4 linked regions of the Cricetulus griseus genome follow. The protein of the gene in region 4 interacts with the protein of the main gene of each other region in a biochemical or structural test. Links are inferred from orthologs where the notes say so. Each region holds a gene or a part of one and is shown on either strand. Other genes may lie near its edges.

What was found. The genes of interacting proteins can lie anywhere in the genome.
Region 1: the proteins of transcription factor AP-1 (region 4) and Batf3 form a complex in vitro, tested with the Homo sapiens proteins (2 studies listed by BioGRID and IntAct, with this or other methods). The link is inferred for Cricetulus griseus from reciprocal best matches to the Homo sapiens genes JUN and BATF3.
Region 2: of the proteins of transcription factor AP-1 (region 4) and Mapk8, one has a biochemical effect on the other in vitro, tested with the Homo sapiens proteins (76 studies listed by BioGRID and IntAct, with this or other methods). The link is inferred for Cricetulus griseus from reciprocal best matches to the Homo sapiens genes JUN and MAPK8.
Region 3: the proteins of transcription factor AP-1 (region 4) and Ets1 form a complex in vitro, tested with the Homo sapiens proteins (2 studies listed by BioGRID). The link is inferred for Cricetulus griseus from reciprocal best matches to the Homo sapiens genes JUN and ETS1.

Annotation. Positions count from the first base shown.
Region 1 is NC_048598.1:3,924,891-3,932,463, forward strand, and holds the start of Batf3 (basic leucine zipper transcriptional factor ATF-like 3), read right to left. Parts: upstream 3,996-7,573; coding exon 3,907-3,995; intron 1,708-3,906; coding exon 1,605-1,707; intron 1-1,604. UniProt on the Homo sapiens protein: AP-1 family transcription factor that controls the differentiation of CD8(+) thymic conventional dendritic cells in the immune system.
Region 2 is NW_023276807.1:185,961,935-185,969,583, reverse strand, and holds the start of Mapk8 (mitogen-activated protein kinase 8), read right to left. Parts: upstream 3,996-7,649; 5' UTR 3,845-3,995; intron 1-3,844. UniProt on the Homo sapiens protein: Serine/threonine-protein kinase involved in various processes such as cell proliferation, differentiation, migration, transformation and programmed cell death.
Region 3 is NC_048597.1:145,109,472-145,116,936, forward strand, and holds the start of Ets1 (protein C-ets-1), read left to right. Parts: upstream 1-3,470; 5' UTR 3,471-3,760; coding exon 3,761-3,842; intron 3,843-7,465. UniProt on the Homo sapiens protein: Transcription factor. Directly controls the expression of cytokine and chemokine genes in a wide variety of different cellular contexts. May control the differentiation, survival and proliferation of lymphoid cells.
Region 4 is NC_048595.1:53,809,401-53,816,834, forward strand, and holds transcription factor AP-1, read left to right. Parts: upstream 1-3,015; 5' UTR 3,016-3,884; intron 3,885-4,001; 5' UTR 4,002-4,105; coding exon 4,106-5,110; 3' UTR 5,111-5,848; downstream 5,849-7,434. UniProt on the Homo sapiens protein: Transcription factor that recognizes and binds to the AP-1 consensus motif 5'-TGA[GC]TCA-3'.

The sequences.
Region 1 (7,573 bases), on a different chromosome or scaffold from region 4:
GTGGTGGCACACACCTTTAATCACAGCACTTGGGAGGTAGAGGCAGGCGGATCTCTGTGAGTTCAAGGCCAGCCTGATCTACAGAACGAGTTCCAAGACAACCAGGGCTACTCAGAGAAACCCTGTCTTGAAAAACAAAACAACAAAAAAAGAAGGAGGAGGAGGAGGAGGAGGAAAGAAAGAAAGAAAGAAGGAAAACAGACAGAAAGGAGAAGGGGAGGGAGGAGGAGGGAGAAGGAGGGAGAGGCAGAGAAAGGTGGCACGCCTGTGATCGCCGTACTCGGCAGGCTGAGGCAAGACGCAGACTCTACAGACTACATAGCGAGACCGTCTCGAAAACAAACTATACCAAAACAAACAAACACCAGAGACCCCACAGCTTGGCAGCAAGCAGGCACGGCAATGGAGTTTACATTTGATCCACAGGCACAAGGCAGAGAGGGAGAGCGCTAAACCGGGAAGGTGTGGGCTTTTGAAACCTCGAAGTCCACTCCCAGTGACACACCTCCTCCAACGAGGCCACACCTCCTAACCCTCCCCCAATGGTCCCACCAACTTCCATACCGAGCATTCTAAGGTATGAGCCAATAGGGGCCATTTTCATTCAAACCATACACGCAGGTGAGGCAAGAATTTGAAAAGGAATTAAAAGCACAAACAGCCATTTTGTTTAGTGTTTTCAATTTTTATTTTTGGTTGAAAGAGGGTCTCAGGTAGCCTAGGCTGGACCGCAAACTTGCTGTGTTGCCAAAAATGGCCTTGAACTCCTCATCAGCACAAGAGCCACCTCACCCAGCTTCTTTTCTTTTATTTATTTATATTTATTTATGTTCTTTTTTGAAACAGGGTTTCACTATAAAGCTCTAACTTGCCTTGAACTCACTCTGTAGACTAGGCTGGCTGCAAACTCACAGAGATCTGCCTGCCTCTGCCTCCTGAGTGCTGGGATCAAAGGCGTGTATTATCACTCCCAGTAGTGTGAGTGTGTGTGTGTCTGTGTGTTGTGTGTGTGTCTGTGAGTGTGTGTGTCTGTGTGTTGTGTGTGTCTGTGAGTGTGTGTCTGTGTGTGTGTCTGTGAGTGTGTATGTGTCTGTGTGTGGTGAGGCTGACCTTGGCCTTCTGTCAGCCTCTACACCCAAGTGCCAAGGTAACAGGCATGCACCGCCACACCTGACTTATGGGGGATTCAGTCTTTACCCAGGACATCTGTGTGTGTACCAGGCAAGCACTCTACCGAAAGGCTTCCCCAATGCTTTACTTTTTACTTTTTACTATTATTATTGTCATTTCTTGAGACAGTCTTTCCCTAGTTCAAACCAGCCTCAAACTGGGTATCCTCCTGCCTCCACCGAGTGCTGAGGACAGGTGTATGCCACCACGCTCAGCTTTTGTTTGATTCTTTAGTGACAGCAAATGCAATGTGGGAAGCACCCAGAGGCTGGCTTGAAGGGAAGAGGCCTGTGAACAAAGAAGCAAACCAACAGGCTGGAAAGACCCGGCAGGATACAGAGTTGTGATGAGCATGGTGACATCATCACCCGGCCCCCTCCCCGGGGCACAGGACGGCTGTCCCTGTGGCAGTCCTGCCCTGACCACAGTCTCACCTCATGGAGCTTGTCAGCTTTCTGGGTCTGCTTCTTCCGGCTTCTCTGAGCAGCAACCCGGTTTTTCTCTCTCCTCCGAACCTTCCTGTCATCATCCTCGGGGCTCTGGGACATGTGGAGAAGACACAATGTTCAGTCCTCTCAGCTTTGCTCACAGAGCTCCACCGACGGTACCCCCTGTACCGCTAGCCAGCTGCTGCTGGCCCTTGTTAAGAGGCGCCCCGTCCGTCCTGGGGCTTCGCTTTATGTTCATCTCCACCCCCCATCCTGAGAAATATGCACTGAGACTGTCATTTTTAAATGAGGAATAAGAGGCCTGGGTGCAGCCTAGTGGTGTCACGTTTGTGTGGGATACGTGAGGCCCTGCGTTCCATACCCAGTACCACAAAAAAACAAAAATACCAAGAGACAGGAATAAGAAACTCAGGTTAGGGAAGTTCTCCAGGTATCATGGCCAGCGTGGGGTGAGCGGGAAGTGGAACTCAGGTCTGCTGGTCTCCAAACCAACGTTCGCTCGCAAACCTCTGCCCCACAGGGCGTTTGCCTGGAAGAGCTGTAGTGTCACTGCTCCTCTGAGAGTGGGAAAGGCGGGGTGTCTGCCCTCTGAAACTTGCTGGGCACCGTCTTTACACCACCGCACACTGGCAAGACCTTTTAAAACCGTGCAGACCATAATCATGCATTTATTACTAATTGCAGCCACATAATTCTACCAGTGCGTAGAACGCCAATGACGACATGCTCACTTAAACAATGCTTGGCTGACATTTTCTTTCAGAGGTCAGGGTTATTCCAAATGCAAATTTGTGATGTATCTTGAAAGTTCTTAACCAAATATCCAAAAATTCTTCATAAGGTGGCATGAAGTGGGCAGGCAGAAAAACTTATTCAGTGGAAAAAGTTTGCTTTCCAGAAATGCATTGGAACCATTGAGGGATCGAAAAAAAAAAAAAAAAACCTTCAAGATTTAAGTCCAAAAGGCGTCTAGAAGGGGAGGGAACTTAGAATAGGCTCAGGGTGTAACCCCAGCACAGGTAAGAATAGACAACTTGCACAACAAGGGGAGTGACATGGAGACTCTGTTCAGCAGAACAAAGAAGGGTGCCAAAATGTGTCTTCTAGAAGTCTCCCTCTCCCTCTCTCTCCCTCTCCCTCTCCCTCTCTCTCTCTCTCTCTCTCTCTCTCTCTAAACAGAATTTCATGTAACCCAGGTTGGCTCTGAACAACCCCCTTCCCCCTGCCTCCCTAGCTCTGGGATTATAGGCCTTCATCACTATGTCCAGCAATCCTAAGAGCCTTGATAAACATCCAGGCGGACAGGCAGTATTAACGACAGAACTTCAGCATTATACCCTCACAGATCCTACTATAAACGCAATTCACCCATCCTTCCAATGTGTACATTAACTAGGAACCTGTCATGTACTCAGAACTCTGTTAGTCCTTAGGGACAGCTGCCCTCAACAGTGGTCGGTCTCGGCTGTTGAGGCTGGCCTGTAACGCACAGATTTTGACCTCTTTATTCTCCAAAGCCAACAAGTCTCAGGGCAAGGGACAGCATGCCTCCTGTCCTCGGGATCTGTCCCTGTAAACTGGACCTATCACCTGTCACAGATGATCACACCTGCCCACTCGGCAGAAATCTTGCGCGGAGATACAAGTCCTGCACAGCTCAAATAATCTGTGCAAAAAAAAAATCCTCAGGAGTTGATGCTACAGGGTTCAACTTATAGATAGGGAAACTGAGGCTCAGAGAGGCGAAGCAAATGGTACCTACGCGGCTCAGACTTCGGAGTAACCCCAGGACACTACATGTCAAGCATGGATAGAATTGGGAGTGCGGGACTAAGAGAAAACCAGCTAATTGTTTTAACCAAGAAGGGTTCCGACAGCTGTCTCAGCTTCTTTGTGGTGCAGCTGTGAAAGTTGGGGACAGCAGAGGGGGCTGATCGGATAGGGGCGAGGAGTTTCCACCTGTGCTGGGGGGTGGAGTCTACCCACTAGAGGCACAACCCCACACCGGCAGGCTGACCTGTCCCACGGTCCCCGTGCTGACCTTAGCGGGTGGGTTGGATGCAGGGACGAACCGCCCCTTTGGGCTGAATTCCCAGTATCGGCCCTCTCCCTCCAGCGTGGGCAGTGGGCAAGGACGCAGTGGCCCCCAGCAGCGCGCAGACCCACGTGTCCGGCGCGGGCAGGCGGGCGAGTCGGGACGGACTGCATCCTTCCAGGCGCCCGAGGGAGGCGCGCGGCTGGGACGCACGTCGGGCGGTGCCCCCACCCTGTACTCCCCTCCCCTCACCCGGCCTCCGCGCCCACTACCTGCGGCTGGTTCCCAGGCGCTGCCACACTCCTCTGCAGGACGCTGCCCGCCGGGGGCCCTTGCGACATGCCGCGCGCTCACCACACGGGGCGCCCTGAACGCGGGGTTCTGCTACCCGCGCTCCGCCCGCATCCCCGCACCTGCCGCCCCGCCCCACCCCGCTGCTTCCCGCTCTCCCGGCTCGGCTCGCCCGCTCGCCCGCCTCCCCGCCCCGCGCGTCCCGTCCGGTCCTGTCCCGTCCGGTCCCCGCCCCCTGCTCCCACCCCGCCCCGCTTCCTCCTCTCCCCGCCTTCTCGCCACACCTCACCTCGGGGTCCAGGATCCCACCTAAGTCACTGTTTTCCGCTAGGGGCCCTGTGCTTCGTGGAAGTCACGTGGCAGCCCCGAAGCCCACCCACTGGGGGAGAGGCCCGGTGGGTGGGGACGGGGTGCTGGCCCGGCACAGCCTTCGGGGTCCTCCAGCCACTCTCAAGGAGCTCGGGTGAGAAGCACCCGAGGCTTGGGTTGGTGGCTTCCCTGTCCCAGCGCGGGTCGCCGGCAATGGGGGACTCTCTTCCGGGAGAGGCTGCAGCTGGACCACGCTCACTCCCCCTGCAGCCCAGAGGCGCCAGGGGGCAGCGGGCGGGCGCCCTCGGGCTTCTCTACCAGGGCGTCGTCCGGTCCGGCGGGAGGAAGGGGCAGGGAGGGGGCGGGGTGACTCCGAGGGTGAACTCTGATGGGGGGGCGGGGGGAGGGCAAGAGGAGGCTGTGAGCAGAAACCACGAAAGGCGTCCGTGTCTGCCACGCTAGACGTCCGCCGTCGTCACTCATTCGGGGATCTGGGCAGAGCACTCTAAGGTTCCGTGGACCAGTTTGCTTCTTCAAGATTAAGGTGGCACCTGGCTAAGGACTGAGACATGCGGCTGCAGTGCTCCTGCCAGACCATGTAGAGGCAGAGCGCCCCCTTCACCTGCCTGGCAGTTTTAAAATTGCGAAGTCAAGATGACCGTGCCCAGCAAAGAAAAACAAAAAAACAAAAAACAAAAACTAGCGGTTGCAGGTTTGTGGTGTGCACACAGGGGACGATAGCTAACCATGAGCTGGGGAGGCGGGTGGGAACCAGACAAGAGGGGCCTTCCTGGGGTTTTCGTTTTGGCCTTCTGGTCTCTGGGCAGTATGGGAGGTGGCCTTTCTGAGTCCCAACCCCGTGTGCACGGCTCTCTTCCAGGATTTAAGAGGGGAGCTTGTTGAACCTGGCTGCCTGGCTTCAGGCACAAGAGGAGTCGGGGTGTCTAAGTGTCAGTAGGTTGGAGGGTGGACAGTGTCTACGTGCCTCAACCAACCAACCGGCAGAGCCTTTCCATACTGGGTGTTCTGCGTATATTTCAGTTTTGACCCCCTTCCATCAACAACATTGTGTGTGTGAGAGAGAGAGACAGAGAGACAGAGAGAGACAGAGAAAGACAGAGACAATTATATCTCACACAGTATACAGAGTACCCAGCATAGCACCCTGAACTTGGTGTGGAGCGGCCCAGGACCTCTGTTCTTGAAAATTGAAATGACTCTATTAATTGAATGCAATAACAAGCTGCTTAGATGATTGGAAGTCCCGTCGGCAGTTCTCTCCTGCTGTTCTCTTTAGGACCCTTGTCTTCTGTTGCGTGCCCTCTGATGGCCTTTCTCAGGGGACAGCCCTGTGGGCTTCTGGGGAGGCTAGGGGAGAGAACCCCAGGATAGAGACCGCTGCATTCACCGAAGACTAGCCACTGTGGAATACTTTCCATGTGGTCTGCTTCATGATGGCGTAGAAAAGCAAGGGCTGGAAGAAAGCGGGCCCTGGGAGAGTGTGTGCGTGGTGTGTGTGGTGTGTGGTGTGTGTGTGTGTGTGTGTGTGTGTGTGTGTGTGTGTGTGTGTGTGTGTGTGTGTGTGTGTGTGGTGTGTGTGTGTGTGTGTGTGTGTGTGTGTGTGTGTGTGTTTAAATGGAGATCAAACAAGTCTCCTCTGCAGGCCTGTGGGGACACCTGGAGGATGTGGTCCACGCTGCATCAACACAGAAGCAAAGGTCTGTGGAAGTGCCTGACCATTCAAGAAACTGCAAGAGATCCTGGGTCTGAGCAGAGAGGTGTGGCATGATCTGACTTAAGTTGTCATGGGCTCCTGTTGGTCACCTCACAAAACAGTAGCACCAAGTGGAGACCCAGCATCCAAAACAGGAGCCTGTGGGTGCCCTTCCAAGCGGGAACAGTAACATTTGCAATGGATATTTAAATCTTAGGAGCAAATTGAAAGCAACAAAAAGAGACACAGGAGGTAAAGACCATGATCCAAGAAAGCTGGGCAGGGCTGGGAAGATGGTGGAGGCCAAGGCCAGGCTGCAGGGAGCGTGTTGAATGGAAGGTTCACAGTGTCTCACTACCATACCCTCCTGACCCAGAGTGGGCCTTGCCCGTGTTTACCTGGTGAGTGTGTAATCATGAATGCATTGGTTACTTTTGCTACACATTGAACAATATGCCTGTCAGGACGACCAAGGGGGCCCAGGGAGCTCGCTGGGGGTTACAGTGAAATGGAGGGGAACCGTGAAACTAGAGTTCAGATTCCCAGAATCCTTATAAATTCACTATAGGTGTGGTGGCCTACCTGGTGGTCCAGCTTTCGGAGGCAGAGACGGGGTAGGGTGGGGGTGTCCCCAGAGCAAGCAGGCTAGTGAGACCAGCCTCAGGCCTTCACATGCACCCACACGGGTGCCCCCACACGTGCAAACATACATAAACACACACGCATGCACACCGCAAACACAGACCAGAAAATGGAATAAGGAAAGGAGGGAAAAGTAAGGGAGAAAATCCTTGCTTTGGTCTCTGAGCCTCAGCCGTTCCTGTCAGTCCTGCCACGGAAGACGCAGAACAGTTTGTGCAGCAGACTGTTCATTCACTGCCCACCTACTGGACAGTACGCAGAGAACCACCCGAACTTAGGGCGGGGTGGGACACAGCTTTCCAAGGCCTGGCCCTAGAGACTCAGTCCCCCCAGGGTGACCCTACCTTCTAAAAGTTTCATAGCGTCTCAACATAGCGCCACCTACTGGGAAAATCACTCAGAACAGGAGCCCATGGGGACCATTTCCAATGGTTAACATATCTGCAAAAATGAGATGTTTAAGACACAAATGGGTTAAGACCATTGTCTCTTTTCAACTCATCATTCCTTAGCCCCCTAGAGCCAATCTGTGTTGAGGTGACTGCAAGAATTTGCGGGACCCCAGACAAGGAAGGCTTAGCCAGGGAAGCACATACATGGAGACCTACATAAGTGATTTACAGACACTTTTGTACAGAGACAGGTTTTTTTTCTGCATGACCTCCAGGAATATTTCCACTGTCCTCTGTGTTGAACTGTGCAACAGCATATGTTCTACTGAGATAAAAACACCTCCCACACATCCCAGCACCAGAATCATGTGGGTGGTGGAGGGGAAGTCAGATTTGCACCAAACGCCCCAAGCATGCAGCCTGAAAATTCTGTGTCATCAAACAGAAAATGGTAAGCATCAGAGTCCCTTCTTGTTTATAACTCTTCAAAACAAAGCTTGCTCTTTCGGGACTTTAATACAAACAGCACACATGAATGTAAAGTACCTCCTGGCCTTTTTGTGTGTTTCTT
Region 2 (7,649 bases), on a different chromosome or scaffold from region 4:
GCTTTGGTAGGGGGAAGCTTTTCACAGATCCTGTAAAGGAGCATAAATTCACTGGGTCATGCCTTAAGTCCCATCTTTTGACCATAGCTTCTTGGGGTTAATGAACCCTCCATTTTCACATCTTCCAGTCTTGGACAGTATTTTATCAAAAGGCATGATGCTGTGAAACAAACAGAATTTGCCATTCAAAGAAAACCTAGCTTACAGCAAAAACTGTACAAGTCTGATAATGGAGACAAACTAACAAGTTTTTCTGATACTTACTTTTCTTGACTGGAGTTTTCTAGTCACTTAAAGACTCCAATGAACGTTGGGCGGTGGTGGTGCACGCCTTTAATCCCAGCACTCAGGAGGCAGAGGCAGGTGGATCTCTGTGAGTTCGAGACCAGCCTGGTCTACAAGAGCTAGTTCCAGGACAGCCTCCAAAGCCACAGAGAAACCCTGTCTCGAAAAACCAAAAAAAAAAAAAAAAAAAAAAAAGACTCCAATGAACAACTTGCAGCAGGCTCATACTTGCTAATGACAAAGTAACAAGGAACATGAGTATGATTCCTGGACTGTTTTATTCCAGGAATTTATGACAGGGTGACTCACTTCGGTACTCCTGTCACATTTTAGTAAATTCTGAATCCCGACTCTTTTCTAAACCTAAAGCTCAGGAGAGCCACATCAGGGTAAGAATGTACAGCTCCTGGATGTTCAGGTAGTGACTGGGTCTGAGACAAGCATCACAGTTCAAACAGGCAAGTGATTCATGTGTAAAGCTCCAGGGTTGTGACTCCCTTGCCCTACATGAATCAGAAAGGTCCATACTACTGACTCTATCAGTCTTCTAGAGGACAGGAACCTTAATCAGACTAATATTATACTTCTACACCTGCAGCAAAGCATCTCAAATATGGAGATGACTCAAATCTGTCACCTGACAGGCAAAGCACGGCAACAAGAAGCTGGCTCCTATTTAGCAACCCCTCAATTACCACTAGGATGGTTTATGGCTAGCTATTAACAACAAATTACTGTTTCACTGGCCATCTAGTATCTTCTCCAGACCATTTCCATAATATCATTCATAGAACAAATAAGATTCTAATTGTATTCATTTTGGTAACAATTTATTCTTTAGCTTTTGTAGCCCAGACTGGCCTCAAACTCATCTTGTCTTGGCCTCTCAAGTCCTGGGATTACAGGCATGTATCACCACATATGGCTCAATTAACTCTTATACTAAATTTCCTTTCCAAGTAATTTCTCTAAGGATTAAAAGGAGCATGAAATATACAGTTTCCTAATATGCCACGACAGTTAAAGGGTACCCTTTTCATTAAAGGGACTTATTTATTAACAGAACCCATACTCTCTTCCTTTCAAACACCAGACTGCTTTTTTTTTTTTTTTAAGGGGGTTTTCTTTGTGGTACAATGATGCTCCAGAATGGTATAGTAGTGATCAATGCATAATTATGCAAGTAGACTAAACACCACTAAAAAATACTCTATGAGAGCCACTCTTTATGTGAATTAAATCTCAAGAAAGCTGTTTAAACAACAGAATTTAGAAGACAACCTAACTGAATTTATGCAGAGTCTGTCTGTGTGTGAGCCACTCAAATGATTTCTTAATTCCAGAGTCCCTTCTGGAACCTCATACACTTAGCTAGGTAAAGCAATAAAAGTTTGGTGCCCCAAGGTCTATCACTCAGAGTAATAGAATAATTTCCTTATTTTTCCATTCTTATTCTACAGTAAATAAGTTCATCTGAATGACTTTTCATATCGAAAAGAAATATTTTTTAAATAGTGGAAACGTGCCAAAACTTGGATAAATTCATAGTATTTTGCATTTTAAACCCATATGCTCTGTGAGATAGATAAGTACAAGCTAAAACCTGACCTTTCCAGTAAGCAACTCTAAAACATTAACCAGCTCTAGACTATTAGAAATAAAATATCTGTAAAACACATGTGGGTGTTGTGCTTTTCTACTCAAAGAAATCATAAAAACTTGTGAAATAATAGTGGGAAAAGATACATTCCCTAAAAGTCTGGGAATCTGGGTTTGATGTCTAGAACCCACTTAAAGGTAAAAGAAAATCAACCCCACAAAGTTGTCCTCTGGCTTCCACATGCACACAGAAGTATGTGTACCCCCTGCCCCAAAAAACACACCATGCACCCTAGATAGTAATTTTTTTTTTTTAGGGGAGAAAAATGAAATCATGTTAGATTCCTAATGAAACACCACTGTTAGGTCTGGGTTCATTCACACATCTGGCTGGAAAAAGCCCTTATCTAAAATATTGGAAGTGAACAAAGTACCCAACTTTGATGACAAAGTACCAAGTGAATGCCCCTTATCTGCAAAGGACTGTAAGTGTTTCAGATTTTGGAGTATCTCCGACTTTCAAGTTATGGATGCTCAACTTTTACACACATACTTAACAGACCCCCCACCACACACACACACAACACAATTTTCTACTTTATTAATTATATGCAAAAAATTCAGGGGTGGTCTTAAAATAGTGAATGCCCTGGAAGTAAAGCATAAAAACAAAAACAGTGATCCCAAACCCTCTTTTATCTTAACAGGTAGTATCCTCTACTAATTTACGATGCAGCCAACTGAGAGTGATGCTTGACACTTCTCAAACTTCGGGGGTGGGGGTGGGATTTAAAGCTTCCAATTTTCCTCTATAAACTTTTTTTTTTAATCAACTCAACGTGTATGACTTCCATGCTAGGTGCTGGAGAAATGATGCAAGATAGGCATCGAAGTACCATTTTGAGTGCTTGCTTTCATCATACACAGCAGTAAACATGTTCACTCAGAGAACCTGACCTCCCAGGTCTAACAGCCTGAGGTAACCATTAACAACGACAAGAAATTAGGGGAGTGGTGGTAAGATTTAAGAATAATGGTGGTATATTTAAGCAAATCTAGCTCTTCTTCACATTACCTATCACATTACCTTCAGAAGTTCTAATAAAACGAGGCAAATACCTTACTTAACATATATCACTTATATAACAGTCTTATTTAAAGGCACATCTATTCTATTCCAAAGTACCCTATTCGTAAGGGTCTTTCTCTTGGCCTTCACATCCTCTCCATCTGGATACAGTACTAACAGCTGCTGAATGAATGAATGAAATAAACAGATGTTCTAACTGACCAAAAGGTACTTGGCGGATGCTCATCTCAAAACACAATAGGCTGACAGACCAGAATTCTACTGAAAAGACCACTTGATTTCAGAAGTAGAAATAGCAACTACTGGACACCGTGCAGTCAACATGTTATTAAATTGCCGGTGGTATAGGGAACTTTCGGGAATGAAAATGCAAGGTGTTCCTTACGGTACTTTAAAATGGACTTGGATCTACCGTGTCTGGACTGGGAATCCAGGCACAAGACAAAGAGACAGCGGTGGGGGAAAGTCAAAAGGTCAGCGCCAGGAGCCCCTCTGAAGGCGCGGCCCGCAGGCCGGCGCGCTCGCGGCCACCCGGCCCTTCACGGCGTCGCGGCACTCACGTCCGCACAAAGAAACCGCCCACAGTCAAAACACGCTCCCCGTGGGTGCGGGAGACCTATGTACGGTCGCGTCGGCCCGATCTCCGCGAGAGCACCTCCGAACTTGCCGCCCACCGGCTCCATTCTCCCCGCGCAACGTGGAAACCGGCCAGAGTGGAGAAGCCAGGTCGCGCCGAGTGGACCACGCCCCCCGCTGCCCCGCCGCCCGCGCTATTGTTCCCGCGCCGCCCCCGCCCCGCGCGCGTTCCCGGAGGGGGTCACGGCCGGGGGAAGGCGGCGGCCGCCCGGGCCGCGGAGCCCGCGCACTCACCCGGCAGCGCAGCCAATGGCGACCGGGAAGCCCGTAGCGGTGAGCGGCGCCGTCCCGCGGTGGCCGCGGCCGCTACTCAGCCCTGCTCGCGGCTCCGCGTTCCGGCCGCGACGTCCGGCCTCGGCCGCTCCGCTGACTAACAGAGACGCGGGTCGTCAACGCGCACGCCCGCCCACGTCATCGCGCAGGGCCCCGCCCCCGCGCCTGCGAGCGGCCTGGGGGCGGAGCGGCCCCGGGGGCCCGGATTGTGAAGGCGTGGCCCAGTGACCGGGGGCGTGGCTACATTGGAGAGCAGGCGGCACTCGCGGAGGTCGCCGCGGGCCGCAACTGGGAAAGCCGCGTGTGAGGGGCGTGGCCGGGAGCAGCAGGGGGCGGGGCTGCGACGGCACGTGGCGGCGCGTGGCGGCGAAACACCAGTCATAGCCTAAGCCTGCTGGGCTGCCAGCTTGTGGAGGGGCGTTAGTGTTTGAAGGTCAGGCACGCATGTCAGTGCACACACGTGAGCCACGGAGAATCCTACTTGGACAGCCACTCTTCCAAGGCCTACCACCCACCAATAAGAAAATGTTCTCCAGCTCCCTGGAAAAAGTTACCCCCCCAAAAAATAAATGCTCCAGATTCTTTGCATTACCTGATATACCTCCAAAGCCTCGTGTCTCCTGCAAATATTAGCTATGGACTGATTAACTGGCCAGCCTAACCACCCGACAATGGATGGAAAGGCATTTAAATTACTATTATTCATTCAGTAGAGTATATTTATCCCTTTAAAGACAATGTGTTTGTTCAAAGGCATTTTTACCAACCAGAGAAAGTAACTTATAAGAGAAGGGAGCAAGAAACACGTACACATAGAATGATTACACATATATAAAAAATACATTACATGCACAGTATATACAAAAAAACATGGAAAGGAACATGATAGGTGTTTTGACAGTGGTGAATAAAGGGCAGTCTCTCCTGTGTGGTATCCTATGATTTCCAAAAATATATAAATATTTATCAAATAAAGTCAGCTGGATTATTATGTTCCAATTACACGTTGAGATGCTCTGTTTGCAGTGATGTGGTCATAAGGCAAATGTGAGCATTCATCCATCCATCCTCTCCCCATTTCGTCTCTCTCAACAATTCTTTTATTTATTTATTTATTTATTTATTTATTTTTATTTTATGTTCACTGGTGTTTTTTGCCTGCATGTTTGTCATGTGAAGGTGTCAGGACTACTGGAGCTGGAGTTGCAGATAGTGGTGAACTGCCATGAGGGTGCTGGGAATTGAACCTGGGTCCTCAAGAAGAGCACCCAGTGCTCTTAACAACTGACTCATCACTCCACCCGCCTCACCAATTCTTTATTTCCATACTTCCTTTATTTCTCCAGTGACTATTTTATCACTTGCCCATTCTCTTAAAGGCAGTGTTCTAGCACTAGCAGCAATTAGATCTTTCATAACAGAGAATTTCTGTTATGAAAGTAATTATACAAAACGTAAAAGTATCAACGTATAATACAAATTAAAAGGATACATCAGACTATGAAAGGAACCAATATATCCATAAGACCAGGAATGTTTTCTCCAAGGAAGTGCCTGCTGAGTTGAGAATAGGTTTGACCAGGCAGAAATTTTTGTCAGAGTTAACTTGTTGTATGAAGGTCCTATGATGAGAGAGCAGAGTAACCTGAGGGAATTGAGGACAGACCAGCTATTTTGGAATAGCAAAGAAAAAGAAGTTACAAAATGAAAATGAGAAGACTGAGAAAAATTTTTGTTGAAAATGTTTTATTCCAAGTGTAATTGGAAGGCCCTGGTGTGTCTTCAGCAATGGATGGTATGATCATTCTGATATCAAGAAAGATTTCTTATTGCAAAGAGGCTTTTCTAGATTTTTCAAGATAGAACTCTTCCCCACCTACAATTCTTAGTAAAAACTTTCTTTTCTTCCAGAGTATGTATGCCATTTATAGTTCAAAAGGTGCTGCAAGACATTTGTGTGTCCCCCATGGCAGAGAAGACAGCGTTCTTTCCTTGACTTTTTCCTTTGGGTGACTTTAGGGAAGACCCTCTGTTGTCCCTTCCCCCATCTGGTCCCCTGGTACCCTTCTCCTTATCCTTAAGATGTCAAACTGATATTCATACCAGATGGGCAAGCGTTTATTCTGCCAATAACCCTTGACAGAGGGACCCCTGTGAATTTCCAACCTTTGTCAACTTTCTGTATTTTTTGTTTTGTTTTGTTTTTTCCAGACAGGGTTTCTCTGTATTGCTTTGTAGCCTGTCCTGTAACTCACTCTGTAGACCAGGCTGGCCTCGAACTCACAGAGTTCCTCCTGCCTTTGCCTCCCGAGTGCTGGTATTAAAGGAGGGCACCACCAAAGCCCAGCCAGCCAACCTTTGTCAAAAGTACTTCAATTAGAAGTTGAATTTGAAACTGCTCTTTCTGGTGCCATTAAGTAAAAGGAGATTCTAACATCACCCTGTTAAAGTGTCTTTGTGAGTGGCGGGATTTTGAGGCCCTAACAAGACTAATGCTTGTGCCTGCTGTTTCATTGCCAGGGGCCTATAATAAGACAGGATTTGTCTCACCTCCCTGACTCAGAGATGAGCCCGGAGGCCCTCTGATGCTAATGAAAAGCCACTGATCCTTCAGGAAATCAGAGGTTAGAAGGCAAATTGTTCTCTAGTACAGAGGGATAATCAAGACAGACAATGAACTATGTATTTCAAAAGAGCTAGCAGAGGGCATTTTGAATGTTCCTTCAGGAGGAAATGATAAAAGTTTGAGGAAATATTGTTACACCAAGCACCTTGATCTGATCACTCTAGGTTATATATATATATATATATATATATATATATATATATATATGTGAAATATCAGACTGAACTCTAGAAGTAGGTACAATTAATAGGTTAATTAAAAAATGGAAAGTGTTTTAAAAGACAATTTGGTAAAGAAATCTTCAACAGTTCTTTAATTCCACTTCAGAGCAGATTACCAGACCATAACACTGTCGTTTATGAAAGTAGACTTCTTTGCTTGTCTTACTAAACAGCATTCAGGATTTATTCTAGGACAGATGTTGACATCACTGGTCAGCCTTCCCTACTTCACAGCTTGTAGGATTAGGAAGTGGTTGGAAGAGATTAAGCCGTAAGGACACCGGAAAGGGCAGAGAGAAGAGTTATGAACCTTCCAAGTGTGACTTAAAAAAGTGACAGCTACACAGGAGCCTGGGTGAGTGTTCCTTACAGAATCCAAGGCATTCTGCACACCAGTGGATGCTTAAAAGATAACCCATCCATGATGATGAAGAGGGAGAAGTCAGTTTCTGGTGATGCTGTAAGCAGGGGCAGAGATAATCTCAAAGGAAACCCTGTGCCTTTCCCTGTGGCAATCAGTTATTCTCCAGGCCTGGAATTTCCCTAAGAATTGCATGCTGGGAAAAGGAATAGACTGAAGCCTGGTGTCAGCCAGAGGAGGAACTTGTTACCCCCAGAAGAGATTTCACAGTTCCAAGTCCTTGTCAGCCAATTTGCAGGGAAACTGGAGCCCAGTCAAGGATAGGTCCATGATGAGCAGGGCCACACCTTGGTTGACCAGGATCCCTTACTTACATTTGCCTCTTGCCTCTTGCTTTCTATCTAACCCTAAGCCTCATGCCATTGAGAGGGTATCACAGAATCTCTTTGTCCTCTTCCCAGTGTGGCCACACTGAATCCATCTCCCTTTTCTGCTTTGCACTATTGCTTGTCTGTTTAATTGACTTACTGAGCATGAGTGGCTAAACCTAGCTTATCC
Region 3 (7,465 bases), on a different chromosome or scaffold from region 4:
TCCTTTTCTCCAACTTCCCATTTTATTGGTGCTTAATGGTAGATATCGAAGCCTGAGGCTTTTTTTTCCCCCTCTGTGTTTTGCACCCAATAGACAGAAACTGCTTGGTACAGAGTTAAGTTTCTGATGTGTTTTTCAGGGTATGACAGAGCCTGTTGGCTTTTCTCAGACTGAAAGGAGACCACAAGTGCAGCTTAGACAGGTTGCTAACTGAGAACTTTGAGAGCTTGTTTAAAAAAAAAAAGAAAAAAAGAACAACAACTTACATTTATACCAGTAAGTCAGCATCTGTGAGTCATGAACTCGTTAGTATCAGTCGTTAGTGGTCTGGATGTTTTTCTGCTCCCTTCAGTGGGACCTGCTTTTAAAGGTTCAGAATGCAGAGAATTCTAGCATACTTCTGCAGAGGAAGGTTCTAGCTCCCACAGTTCTTTGAAATTAAGTGCATTTTTACATACTTACTGAATGTGGAGCAGGATTGAGGGAAGAACAAAGGGAAATTATTATTTCTTGTTATATGCTCCTTGTGGTGAGGAACTTCCTGTATACAGGTGACTCCTGTCTTGATGCCATTCATGTTGGCCTAGATATCCCTTTCCTCCAGAGTCCCAACCCTTGACCAGATGTAATTAGCTAGAGTCTAAGGATTTTTAAAGATACAAATTTGTTTTCTCCTCAGTAGGAAGCCAACTCAAAAGAAACATTACTCACTGCTCCCCTGCCCATTCCCCCCCCCCCCCAAGTGCCTTAATGACCATCAGTCTTGCAATAGTATCATCAGGTATAAGAAGGCTGAACTTGTGTTTGGCTGATAGGTAAGCTGAAACACATGTGAACCAAAGTGGGCAAAGTTGGGGATAGAATCCTGTTTTGCCATAAGGAGCAAAGGGAAGCTCTCAGGGTCGAGTTACTGACACCATCTAGGTCATTTTCACAAGCAGTGTTAATGCAGAAGCCCAGAGTGACCAGAAAGCTGATAATTTTTCACTCAACAAATATTTTTTAACTTTAATTTTATTTTTAAAACCTTCTTGTTTTACATACCAATCCCAGCTCTCTCTCTCCCTCTTGTCTTCCACTTTCCCCACCTTCTCCCCAACCCATCCCCCATTCACTCCTCAGAGAGGGTGAGGCCTCCCATGGGGAATCATCAAAGTCTGTCACTTCACTGGGGGCAGGATCAAGGCCCTCCTCCCTGTATCCAGGCTGAGCAAGGTATCCCTCAGTAGGGAATGGGTTCCAGAAAGCCAGTTCATGCACTAGGAATAAATCCTGAGCCAACTGCCAGTGTCCCATAAAGTGCTTGGGGCAAAGCATATGTTTCCTGATAAGTAAAATGTAGTAATGTTTTTTAAACTCCTTAAGAATGTTTGAGAAAAAATCTACTTGTGTTAGAAGGAGAATAAAAATTCCATTTGTCAAACATTAATTGAATTTCTGTCCTGTTTGGATTATTGATGTCCCAAACATGTAAAAATATCTTAACTGGTTCTCTCTCAGTGCTTCTCATCCTACAGGAAGTTTCAACCAGATCCAGGGCTCTTCGCAGGACTTGTGATGTTGGAGACATTTGCCATCAGTATCATACCAACCCCACTTTCTGATCTGGACATTAGAACATTTTGAGCTTCCACACTTCTGGACAGGGTTAGGAACAGGGAGATCAACAGGTTGACGGGCACTGTGGAAGGATTACAAGGAACATATTCCATTGTTTCCAGGGTAGAAACATGGGCTTCTCTAAGTGTCTCACATGCACAAGTGTTAAGCAATAGTGTAACTAGACACTAGTTTAGTGGAGGAAGAGACCTGGGGGAGGGGGGGGGAGCAAGGAGGGATCCTGAGAAAGCTACTTTTGCAAATAGAGTAAAACTCTCCAGCATTTTCATAAGACTGAAGCAACAAAATGAAATTCACCAAAGAAACTTGTTAGCTTGTTCAGTTTCCTTGCTGCAATTTGGGCGTGTGAATGTACAATCCACTATAATCCATTCATCAGTGGGTTCCCTAAGCTTTTCCCAGGATCCAAAGTGTCTGTTCTCGTCATCTGGAGGCCAGCATTGCTTTCTCATACCTTGCAGAAACACAGCTGGACTGTAACAGTCTTTGTTCTTTCAAAAAAGAAAATGAGGATTATCATATATGCATATTTTTTTCCTCTGGTGACCAAAGAAGGGTGGAGCCTGGAAGTTGGACCAGGATCCAGAGATTGACACTCTATTGCTCTTTCTCTCCCCTCCCCCCACCATTTGCTTTGGGAATCCTGTACACTGCTAAAGCCCAAGGGGTGGGGGTGGGTGTTTAGATGAAAGTTAGCAGGTGTGATGAAGTTTACTAGAGCAGAAGTTACAGTTGCAGGCAAGTGGTGGGAGTTCATCACATGCTTAGAAATCAGGAAACAGTACTAAGAATAGCTTTCCCTGAGGTTGCTCAGGAAGATTTATGTTGTCTTTTAATCAAAATGCCTTGCTCCACATGCACTACCATGGCCTGGATGATTTGTTAATGAGTACCAACTACCTTGATGTATGATAGCTAATTATCAGTGGCAAATTATGGGTTAGCCTGGCTCGCCTTTTTATCTGGAGTGTTGGCAGTTCCCAGCTATGACAAGGATGTGCACTGTGGTTCTGTGGGCTGGGGATGAACCTTAGAGACTCACACCAGTGTGCTGGGGGATGTGGTGATAGAGAAAAGGATGTTGGAAGTTTTCTGATAGAGCAGAGTGTGAAAGACAAAGCGTCAGCCAAGGTGACACAGTTAGAGAAACAGAATAATTAGGAACACTGTTATGGGTTCTAGACTCCCCGGTTTGATAGAGGGGCTTCGGAGCTTGGGTTTTGGGAGGTCTCTGACAGGCTTGGTTCTGTGCTAGTGACGTTGATTATGGGTTCCTGCTCACCAATGCTGCCCTTGTCACTTAAACCATTTCAAGGGTGGGATTCTGAGTCATATCTCAGCTGAAGCCGTCCCAGAACACCCGCAGTGGAATCCCCCGCACGCGCCCCCTCGGTGCGCACCCAAGCAAGCCTCACGTCCTGTGTGTCAAGCTTTGTGAATGAATATGATGTACACGCACTTGGAAAACTATGCTGCTACCGGAGCGGGCCGCAGCGGTGACCAAGCCCTCAAGAATGCGTGCACAATCAGACGGACTTTCCCGAGACCGTGGCAGCAGCCCCTGCACGCCAGCGACCCGCGCCAGCCTTCCTCGCCAGCGGTGGCCTGAGGCCCTAGCCCTGCGGGCAGAATAGCTGGGGCTGAGCTGGGAGGCCCGGCGCACCCGCCCTTCCTTTCGCTTTTGGGAGGTGGGAGATGATTGGCTGTGGGCGCTAGGCCCCGCCCCCGCCCCGCCCCCGCCGCCCCGTGGAGTGGGCAGGGCAGGCGCTGGGACCCCGGGCCTGGGCTCCGCGAGGAACGCCCTAAAGCGGAGGCGAGCTGCACAGCGCCAGCGCCGGCCAGGAGAGCGAGCGCCCGGGACCGAGGAGCGAGCGGGCGAGCGGGCGGGCGGGCGAGCGGGCGAGCGGGCGAGGCTGGGACCCGAGCGCGCGCTCTGCTCCGCCAAGTGCCAACTTCGCACGGACGGCTGAGTGCGCACCTTCCCGCGGGGCAAGCAGTCAGCGGGAATTTGAGATTTTAGGGAAGAAAGTGGGCTTTGCCCTGTCTCCTTCCCCCGGGTTTCAAAATCCCCATTAAAAAGAAAAACAGCAGTTACAACAAACTTGCTCTCATCCCGCCGGCCCCCTCAACTCCCGGCACCATGAAGGCGGCCGTCGATCTCAAGCCGACTCTCACCATCATCAAGACAGAAAAAGTGGATCTGGAGCTTTTTCCCTCCCCGGGTGAGTGGCGACAGCGAGACCCCCACCCCAGCTTTGGGTCCCCTTCACTTCCCCTCTGGGTTGCGCTGCTCCCTCAGGAGCCAAGGATACAGAGGCCAGGAGGACTGTTGGTGGCCCAAGACCCTTGTGTGTGGGGTTCTTTTTTCTTTTTTAAGTGGGGGGGGTGTATTTATTTTCACAGCTGCTTTTTTTGTGACTAATGGGAAAAAGCTTATAGAATTTCCAGCGCCCTAATTTTCCCACATAAGCTAAACCTTTTGGTAGTATTCCTTCACATTAGCCTGACACTGCCTCTCAGGTCACCCCCTAACTCCTTGTCTCCCCAGAATTGGAGCTTGATGGGAGGTCCCTGCGAGTGCTGGGCTAACTGCTGGGGCCCTTGAGGACATTTCCAATGCTCTTGCATCCTGAGCGCCCCTGTCACACGTCCTTTAGAGTCTCACTCCTCTTTTGTAGGTTGAGGAGGTAGTGGGAGGAGAAATGAAATTAAACTGCTTAACTTTGAGAAAGCCTGGTTCCCGCCTGTTCTGTAGGTTACAAACTTTACTGGCTTCCTATTCTGCCATGTTTTGTCCTCTGGTACCAAAGGTCCTAGAAGAAGGAAAGCATCCTAACACCAGATGTGACTTAGTGTCCTTGGTTCATGGTTTCATTTAGCAGGCTTAAAGGGTTTAAAGAAGAGAGGGACAGTAAAGACACTGAATTTTGTCTTAGAAGGAATTTTAGTGCTCAACAGATGGAATCAACTCTTGAGGATTCCTGAAGCTAGCACAGTGTGAGAGGGATAGGGAGTCTGCAGCTGGCCCCAGAGAAGAGTGACTTTGGAGGTGAAAGGCTATAAAAGGATACAGGGGGAAGGTGATGCATTTTGGGAACTAATCAGATGTCACAATACACACCTCTATTGTGTCTATCAGTTGTCCCCAACCTTTTTTTCTCTGCCATAAAGAACTGCATATTTTAACCCTTTCTTTAAACTTTCAGCACATGCCAAGATGAGGTTTTGACATTCAGGCATGCTTCAAAATGTTAATAAGGACATTTGGGTCCTCCCCACCCAGACTCTCCTGACAGTCAACGGGGATTGCTCTGTACAAAAGCTGGACTTGTGTCTTGTCCCAGTGTGATGACAGAGCCACACCAAGGCCTCTGCTCGAGCCCTGGAGACCTTTTAGGCACTCAGCTGCAGGTAGAAATGATGCCGTGAAGGTTGTTTTTGAATATTCAGGGAGCCAGAGTTCTCTGTGTCACAGTTGATTGAAACCATATATAGCAGAAGTGAAAGGATAGTTGCCAGCAAAGATATAAACTCAACTAATAGGCCCTTTCCTTAAGAATGGCTTGTTTATATGTGCTACGTGTGTTTATGGGGAAGAGACGGATTTGGGCATCTGGGAACCCTCGTGCATATTTATGTCAGTTCACATGCCTACAGTGGGACTTTGATGCTGGCAGTGAATGAGAGTCCCTTGCAGCATGTGTTTTACATCATAGCAAACAGCTGAAGCATGGTTTTTGGTAATTTAATATTAAATATTTGAGATTTTAAAGCATTCGATGCTATTACTTTAGTTATTGATAAAAATAAACTGTGGGCAAGTAACTTTATTGAGCTGTCCCATTAGTAAAATAGAGCTGGGCAGCCTAACATAGCAGTCGGTGTTTGCTATACAGAGTACCTTTACATTGGCTTTCGTGATCAGAAGAGTGCTCAAGAGATTCAAGTTAGAAGTGAACCTGGTGCATGTAAGACCAATTTGAGCAATATAGTGAGATCTGTTCCCAAAATACAAAAAACTCCCAAGCCGGGCTTTCTAAATGCAACAAAGCAACAATGCAACAAAGCAACACAATTTCATTTGGTCCAAGAAGTCAGGTGTTTTCTGTCATTTACTATGATGAGACTTTTCTTTGTTTTCTGATACTTTCTTAGAGAAAATGAAGAACAATGATTTGTTGGTCATTAAAACCATTTTTTAACATTTTTCTGGATTTTAGTTGCATTTATATAAATATTATGCTCATACTTCAGATGGGGGATCTAGAAGCACAGAAAAGTAAAGACACTAGGCAAAATTATCCACAGAGCCAGTGGCTGAAGAGAGATGAATTTCTGTTTCTAACTTGTCAGTGTATAAAACTGAGAAATACTGCAAGTTACCTTTGGAAACTCAGCAGAGAAATGTCAATGGAGACTTCAGTTTTCAAGTACAAAGATGCAAGAAACCCTGGCAAGGACTGGCAGCTTTCACTAAAAGAAGGCTAAGAGGCTAGGTGCAGCTTTACCTGGACCATCAAATTATATAGGACATCCGTGTCTCAGCTGCATGGCTTTGCATCTAGAACAGTGACCTTAGTGTTTATCATGACCTTTATCATGATCTTCTTGTTGTTGTTGTATTGCTTAGTTTCTTGTGTGTAGAGACAACTAGTAGGGGGTGTGATTAAACCAGAACTTCCTTTCTGCCCTCTCCATAGATTCCTAGATTCAAAGAGATGCAGTGGGAAGTCTGAGGGTCCAAATTCTTTGAGACAGAAGAACTAGAATATTTGTCAGTCTCTCTGTGGTTAGGACTTGACTGAGAACCTCTGTTCACGTTGGTTTTATATTGAGGTTTGACAGGATTTTGACTGCATCAAGTATCAAATTAATATATACTTTAAAATAACATTGGCATTCAATTTCCCTTATAAGTGTAAAGTGGGACATACTATTTCATTGCACACCTCTTTTAGGCCTTATATAGGTTTAAACCAAAGGTAGCATCGACTTGTTCCTGGCTTCTTTCTGAGTAGGGGAGGAGGCTACGGAGGCAGGGTGTGGGAGCAAATGCTACTTCATTATTTTCCTCCCTCCCATACCACTCCACCTTATGGTGAGGTGAAGATGGCAGCCATAGAGGAACAGTTTTCATCCTGGCTGTTTGCCCATTTATAAGGTTTAAAATGTTCAGCCCCTACTTCCATCTCACTTTGACAGAGGATATCCATCTCCTGGGGACTGTTACTGTCCTTCGAGATAGGAAGAAGTCTTGTCCTTTCTTAGTTTGGACAGTCTTTGTGCCATTGCAAACCAGAAAGAAGGGGGGAGCTGCTGGGCTGCTAGGATCGCTTGCTCACCGAGTTTCTAAATCCCCTCTTACCACATATTAGTGACTAAATAGCCCAGTGGTTTGGACAGGGACTTTGGAGACAGCTTGTCTGGGTGTGAATCCCCAGTTAGTAGCTGTGTGACTTTGGGCAGACTACTTAATCTCCCTGTGCTCCAGCTCCTGCATGTATGAAATGAGTGTAATAATCCTTGGATGAAGATGAAACCCGAATATGTGGAAAATCTTAACTCAGTGCCGAACTGGTAATGGAGTCTGTTGAACAGTTAATGAAAAAGCAAGTCAACAGAAACCTTGACTAGTGTAGAACTTTCACAAGACCTTGGAAGGTTTGGTAGGGAATCTGGAGGTTGGTTTATATATGTGCCCCAAATCTACCACTTGGGGAGGAAAGTACAGCAGAGAAGAAGATCTCCTGGCCTGGAATTTCACATAAGTAGACTGTCTTCTGAGCTCCAGACAGCAGGTATGGTGAGCAGTTCATTTTCAGCCTGTCTGGGAAGCCCAGCTGTC
Region 4 (7,434 bases):
CAAAAGACCATTGGACTTAAACAATGGATCCCTTATATATATATATATATTTAAAGTCCAGGCCTTCATTAAGTCTTTGGAAGACTGAAGGCAGACCCAGGGTCACAGAAACGGACCATATAAGCAGAACCAGGCCCTATTTGCAGGAGTGGATGGAGAGGAATCCTGAAAACACTCAGGGGCTAGCATCTACCCTGACCTCAGTTCCATTCCTTCCCAAGTGGAGCAAAGCCTCTGTCTCTGTCCCATCATATATGCTGAATGGGATCCAGGGGTGGGGCGTGGGGGTGGGGCAGGGTAACTAGCTCTCTATACACTGTCTCTCAAAGCCTGGATGTGAACTTATGCTGTAACTGAAGGGGAATTGGGGTTGATTCCCTTGAAGAAGGAAAGAAGGCAGGAAGGACCCCTTTCAGACCCTCAGTCTCAGGTATGGCCCTGTGACTGACTTTGGCCAGTGGCATATGAGAAAGAAAGGTGCCACTTCCAGGTGGATACACTGAGAGCCAGTCAGAGCTTTGCTGAGTTCCCACTTCAGTCACAACCAGTGAGAAGCAGGACAGTGGACAGAGTTCCCTGCTCAGTCACAATGGGCAAGCAGTGGGAGGGAGCAAGAAACAATAACACACTGACTGAGCCTCTGGGATGATGGGTTTAGGGTAGCATAGCCCAGCCCTTCCCAACTGAGCTTCCAGTGAGATGAGACTAGAGAGCATTGGCTGAAAAACCCCTTCTCCCAGGCAAAGAGGAAGTTCACTGCGGCTGGCAAGCAGAGGCATTGACAAGAGTACATCCTTTTCGCCTTGAATGAAATGTACTATTTCTTAACCTAAGTAGAAAATTAGCCTCCTAAGCAACAGGAGGCAGACTAAGCCTGGGAGTTTCTAAATACAGAAACAAGAGAGCAACTTCTATGGCATCAGCACCACTTCCCAAGCAGATAACCAAGGCTGTGAGGGAAAGTTTGCCAGAGTGGAGAAAATACAAAGGAATGTAACACAGATTTAAGGTCACTTTCCAGCCGTCCGTGTAGCCCAAACAAGATACATGTACTTTCTGGAATTATTTCCTCCTGTGTAAAGTCGAGGTAAAAATGTATGCCTCTCAAGATGGTTGTGGGGAAAAAACAGCATACTTAAACTGCTTGGACTAACTGGTAGATAGTGGGTGTTTAATGGATAAAACTTATTTTTATTACTGTTGTCATAAATCATGGAGAATATGAGCTCCTTGACAAAAACGATTAGGGGAACTCGTTCTCTCTTTGGGAGAAGTAAATGGATCTGGACTTCACAGAAACCTTGCCCTACCCTGCCCCCACAAAGGTCAGTGCTTGGCTGGCAGCAACCAGTTAGTTACCCTCTGCAGCCTGAGTGAAAGCAAAGTGAGCACACGGAGTGAAAAAGAGCTGGCCAGTTTCCCACCGATACCAGCTGCTATTGGGTTCTGAATTCTCAAGGCAAAATATCTTAGGGCTCCAGGATACAAACCCTGGGCTGAGTTCTGAGGCAGCAAAATCCGAATTAGAACCTCCGGACTTAAGGTCCAACTCCAAACCTCAAGTCCTGGGCTGTAAGGAGGCTTGGGGAAGAGCTGGCTAACAGCCCTTTGCTACCTTGCTCACCAGTTCCTGCCAAATCACAGCCCTGTAGCCTGGTACGGCGGGAAGGCCCAGGGGGAATGCCGAGGCCGGCAGGGAAGGGGACAGTGAGTTGACCAGCTTCTAGTACCGGCATCAAGGAAGGTAATACTAACGCCTGGCAGCCCGGTACGGTGGACCTCATCCGCTCTACTTGCAGATGAGGCCAATAAAGCTCAGAGAAGTTCCGAGATTGCAGTTAGGCCATGAGAGAACCGAGCTTGCCACCTCTTTAGTCCTAAGTGGTGGAGAATGGAGGTCGGATAGCAGAACCCTAGGACAAAAACCACTTACATGTGTCTAGCGCTTCCTAGAGGCCACACAGGATATGAATCCACCAGCGGGCGGGGAGGGGAGACTTTAGCCTGCTTCTACCAGGGACTCCCGCTTAGGCAGCGTGACTTTCGGGCGAGTCGGCGGCGGCTCTCAAGACTTGTTTTCCCAGAAGCAAATCAGGAGCTGGGGGGTGGGGGGTAGGGCGGGCGCGGGTTGCGTATGCGCGAGACGCGCCCGGGCAAAGGCGATCGCTGGGGTTTCCTGAGTTTTGAACCCTTAAATGTTGATTTTGACCCCCATGGATGCTGGGGTCGCCCCTTTATTTCACGTCTAGAAAGCGCGTCCCTCTGAGGCAAAGCGAGCCCCTCCCCGCATGTCTCCAGAGGGTGAAGTGTTGTGCCGAGGACCCTGACGAGTCGGTTCTTAGTACCGCAAATCTCTAGCTTCCAGGTAGAGCACACAGCGGCACAGATCCTCCTCTGGAACTTAACCAAGAGATAAACTTCCACGCGTGCTCAACGTGGGAGGGACACTCAAGCCCGTTCAACTTCAACACACTTTCTCGCTCCCGCACCCGGGGCGCACACAACCATCTTCACCCGCGCCGCTGCCTCCCGGAAGTGTGGGGGTGCAGAGCCTGCTGGAGCTCAGGTCGCTCAGCCCCTTCACGTGTGTGCGTGTGTGTGCGTGTGTGTGTGTGCTTGTGTGTGCGTGCGTGCGCGCGCGCCACCTCCACTCCCCACCCAGGCCTTCCGCCCGGGGCCACTAGCGAGCCTCCCCAGCTTTCTGGATGCCGGTGTCTCGATCCCCGTCCCCAACCCTGAACTTGAGCCCGCCTCCGACAGACGCCGCAAGGGTCCAGCCGACCCGGCAGCCTCCGTCACTAGACAGCCAAACCAAGACGTCAGCCCACAATGCACCGGGCGGGCCGGGAAAGACGCGCCGGGGAGGGAACCCGGGAACACAAGCCTGAGCGCCGCGCGGGAGGGGGAGGGAGGAGGAGAAAGAAGGGCCCAACTGTAGGAGCGCAGCGGAGCATTACCTCATCCCGTGAGCCTTCGCGGGCCCAGAGAAGAATCTTCTGGGGTGAGGTCTCCATGGCGACAGGCGGGCCCGCCCCCCTGAGAGCGACGCAGGCCAATGGGAAGGCCTTGGGGTGACATCATGGGCTATTTTTAGGGGTTGACTGGTAGCAGATAAGTGTTGAGCTCAGGCTGGATAAGAAGGACTCAGAGTTGCACTGAGTGTGGCAGAGACGTCCTGGCAGGAACGCGCTCAGACAGAGAGGCAGAGAGAGAGAGCGGGACGGACGGAAGGAAGGACGGACGTTCTCGGCCAATCTGGACGGCCGCGGACTCCGGGCTGCTCATCTGTTTGTCTTCATTTTCTCACCGACTACCTGGACCCAGCGCCCGCGGCTCCAGCACCGGTGTTTTGGGGAGCACTTGGAGAGTCCCTTCTCCCGCCTTCCCCGGAGAAGCAGCTCGCAAGTCCCTGCGCTGCTGACAGCATCGAGAGCGGTGCCTGCCCGAGCGAGGAAATAGGCGAGCGGCTACGCCGACCACCAACTTTCCTGACCCAGAAGACCGGGAACAAGTGGCCCGGAGCGAACTTTTGCAAACCTTTTCAGCGCCTTAGGCTGCCCCCGAGACCGTAAAGAAAGGGGAGAAGAGGAAGAACCCACACTCAGCCCCGCTCGCACAGGCGGCTGAAGTTGGGCGAGCGCTAGCCGCGGCCGCCGAGCGTCCCCCTCCCCCTCACAGCGGAGGAGGGGACAGTTGTCGGAGTCCGGGCGGCGGAGCCCGATCGCGGGCTTCCACCGACAGTTCCGTGACGACTGGTCAGCGCCGCCGGAGAGCTGCTGTCGCTGGAGCTGGTCTGCGGTCTCCGAGGAACTGCTACTACCCGAGAGCGCTCCGCGAGTGACCGCGACTTTTCAAAGCCCGGCAGCGCGCGGGAGCCGACCAACGTGAGTGAAGGCGGTACCTTAACCCTGCGCTCCCTGGAGCGAGCTGGGGAGGAGGGCGCAGGGGGGGAGCACTGCCGACCGGAGCGCGCGCTCTTAGACAAACTTTACTTGTCACAGACGCAGGGACGCGCGGGTGTCCCCCGCTTCCCAGCGCGCTGTTGCGGCCCCGAAACTTCAGCGCGCAGCCCAGACGAACCCCGCGTGAACTGACCGACCGTTCTATGACTGCAAAGATGGAAACGACCTTCTACGACGATGCCCTCAACGCCTCGTTCCTCCAGTCCGAGAGCGGCGCCTACGGCTACAGTAACCCCAAGATCCTGAAACAGAGCATGACCTTGAACCTGGCCGACCCGGTGGGCAACCTGAAGCCGCATCTCCGCGCCAAGAACTCGGACCTCCTCACGTCGCCCGACGTTGGGTTGCTCAAGCTGGCGTCGCCCGAGCTGGAGCGCCTGATCATCCAGTCCAGCAATGGGCACATCACCACCACGCCGACCCCCACCCAGTTCTTGTGCCCCAAGAACGTGACCGACGAGCAGGAGGGTTTCGCCGAGGGCTTCGTGCGCGCCCTGGCCGAACTGCATAGCCAGAACACGCTGCCCAGCGTCACGTCGGCGGCACAGCCGGTCAGCGGTGCGGGCATGGTGGCTCCCGCGGTGGCTTCGGTAGCCGGCGCCAGCGGCGGCGGCGGCTACAGCGCCAGCCTACACAGCGAGCCTCCGGTCTACGCCAACCTCAGCAACTTCAACCCGGGTGCGCTGAGCAGCGGCGGCGGGGCGCCCTCCTACGGCGCGGCCGGGCTGGCCTTTCCGTCGCAGCCCCAGCAGCAGCAGCAGCCGCCTCAGCCGCCGCACCACTTGCCCCAACAGATCCCGGTGCAGCACCCGCGGCTGCAGGCCCTGAAGGAAGAGCCCCAGACCGTGCCCGAGATGCCGGGAGAGACCCCGCCCCTGTCCCCCATCGACATGGAGTCTCAGGAGCGGATCAAGGCGGAGAGGAAGCGCATGAGGAACCGCATCGCCGCCTCCAAGTGCCGGAAAAGGAAGCTGGAGAGGATCGCCCGGCTAGAGGAAAAAGTGAAAACCTTGAAAGCGCAAAACTCGGAGCTGGCGTCCACGGCCAACATGCTCAGGGAACAGGTGGCACAGCTTAAACAGAAAGTCATGAACCACGTTAACAGTGGGTGCCAACTCATGCTAACGCAGCAGTTGCAAACGTTTTGAGGACAGAGTGTCAGGGCTGAGGGGCAATGGAAGAAAAAAAATATAACAAAGACAGACTTGAGAACTTGACTGGTTGCGAAAGAAAAAAAAAAGTGCCCGAGTACCGAAGCCAAGGGTACACGAGATGGACTGGGTTGCGTCCTGACGGCGCCCCCAGTGTGCTGGAGTGGGAAGGACGTGGCGCGCCTTGCCTTGGCATGGAGCCAGAGAGCGGCGGCCTGTTGGCTGCTAGGCTTTGCGATCGGGCTGTGCCCGCGAGACCAGAACGATGGACTTTTCGTTAACATTGACCAAGAACTGCATGGACCTAACATTCGATCTCATTCAGTATTAAAGGGGGGCGGGGAGGGGTTACAAACTGCAATAGAGACTGTAGATTGCTTCTGTAGTGCTCCTTAAGAACACAAAGCAGGGAGGGCTAGGGAGGGGAGGGAGGCTCGTGAGTGCCAGGCTAGACTGCAGATGAACTCCCCTGGCCTGCCTTCCTCAACTGTGTATGTACATATATATTTTTTTTAATTTGATGAAAGCTGATTACTGTCAATAAACAGCTTCCTGCCTTTGTAAGTTATTCCATGTTTGTTTGTTTGGGTGTCCTGCCCAGTGTTGTTTGTAAATAAGAGATTTGAAGCATTCTGAGTTTACCATTTGTAATAAAGTATATAATTTTTTTATGTTTTGTTTCTGAAAATTTCCAGAAAGGATATTTAAGAAAATACAATAAACTATTGAAAAGTAGCCCCCAACCTCTTTGCTGCATTATCCATAGATAATAGTAGCTAGATGGAATAACAGCTGAATGTCAAATTCGCTAGAGTAAAAGCTGTGTTCTCTGTTTGATTGTAGGAATAGATGCCCTGCATGCTATCATAGGGTCATACTCTCTCCCGCAGCAACTCACAAGTCCAGACTGTTGACCAGAAGATGCTATGGTGTTTCTAGAGGCTGGAAAACAGGGATGTTGCAAAGGGAGAGAGAAAGCAGGCACTTCAGTTTAGAGCTATATCAAGTGGCATGTGCTGTGCTCGTTTATAATCATAGAGATTTAGCAATAGATGCTTCTTCTCAAAGCAGAAACCCATGCAAGTTTTTACAGAAGATGTCTCCTTCCAACTTGGAATCTGACAATTCCTAGAGAAAGATGGCCTTTGCTTGTGCATATTTATAACAGCGTTCTTGTCACAATAAATATTCAAATAATGGTTTCAAAAAATCTTGAATTCCTTTCCCTTTGGTACTCTTATTCCTAAACTATATACTGAAGGTTTTCTAAGTTTCTGGGGTTAACATTACTGTATTCTAAACTTAGTAATTTAGAAGCAAAGACTTTAGGAAGAGTCAAACTAAATTGAAGCCTGGGTGATCTTTTCTTCCAACCCTCCCTCCTTCCCTTTTCCCTTTTGCTCCCACTCCCACCCCTCATCTCTCCCCAGTACCAAGGAAGTGACCCATGAAGTGAGTCCATGTTTATTTCTTAGTTTGTTTCAAAATAATCTGTCTGGCTTAAATAATTATAGAGCCAGTCTAGGAAGATGCTATAATAAATGCTATGGGGGCAAATTCACAAGAGAAGTGTGGGCCCAACACTGATTACATCTGTAATGGGCCCAATGCATCCATAATCTAAACCTCAGCTCTGGGGAGACTGAAAACTTGGGTTGTGTCTACAGATACAATAGGTTATCAACAAGTTTGTATTTAACAAGGGAATAGTTTTTGCCTGGTTCCTTTTCTTCCTGTGAGCTGCTGAGATTATCAAGCAGCAAAAGCAATTTGATACCCAGAAACACTTCACCAACCACTAATTGAAGCCTGGCTGTTTGCTCATTAGCAGTGCTCCAGTATTCAACAGGTTCAGGAGTGCCTGTGGTGGTAAATCCAAATACAGTTTCTCAGGAGTACATCTAGGTCTGCAGGGGCTTGGACGGGCTCCATACTTTTTAAACAAAGACTTACTGGGAGCCAAGGCACTTTTGTCAAACAGTAAATTTGCTGGTGTCAGCAACCCGGAAGGTGAGTTGATTTTGACCATATTTAGGAATAGCAAAGGGACAATGAAGCACTTCAGGGTGGGGCTCTGGAAGTTAAACAAGTGCAAAGTAGAAAAGTATACAGGCTGGGAACTGATAGCCTACAGTGCTAGACTAGGCCCAGACAACAACAGCACAATGCAGAAATGCCACGCCACTCATCTGACTAAAAAGGAAAAAAAAAAAAAAAAAAAAAAAAAAAAAGAGTCCTCAAGGTTATCCACATTTGTCCCTTTCAACTAATATTTTGAATTACATTCTTAAAATTCTGACTATTCTAACCCAAAGAGGTAG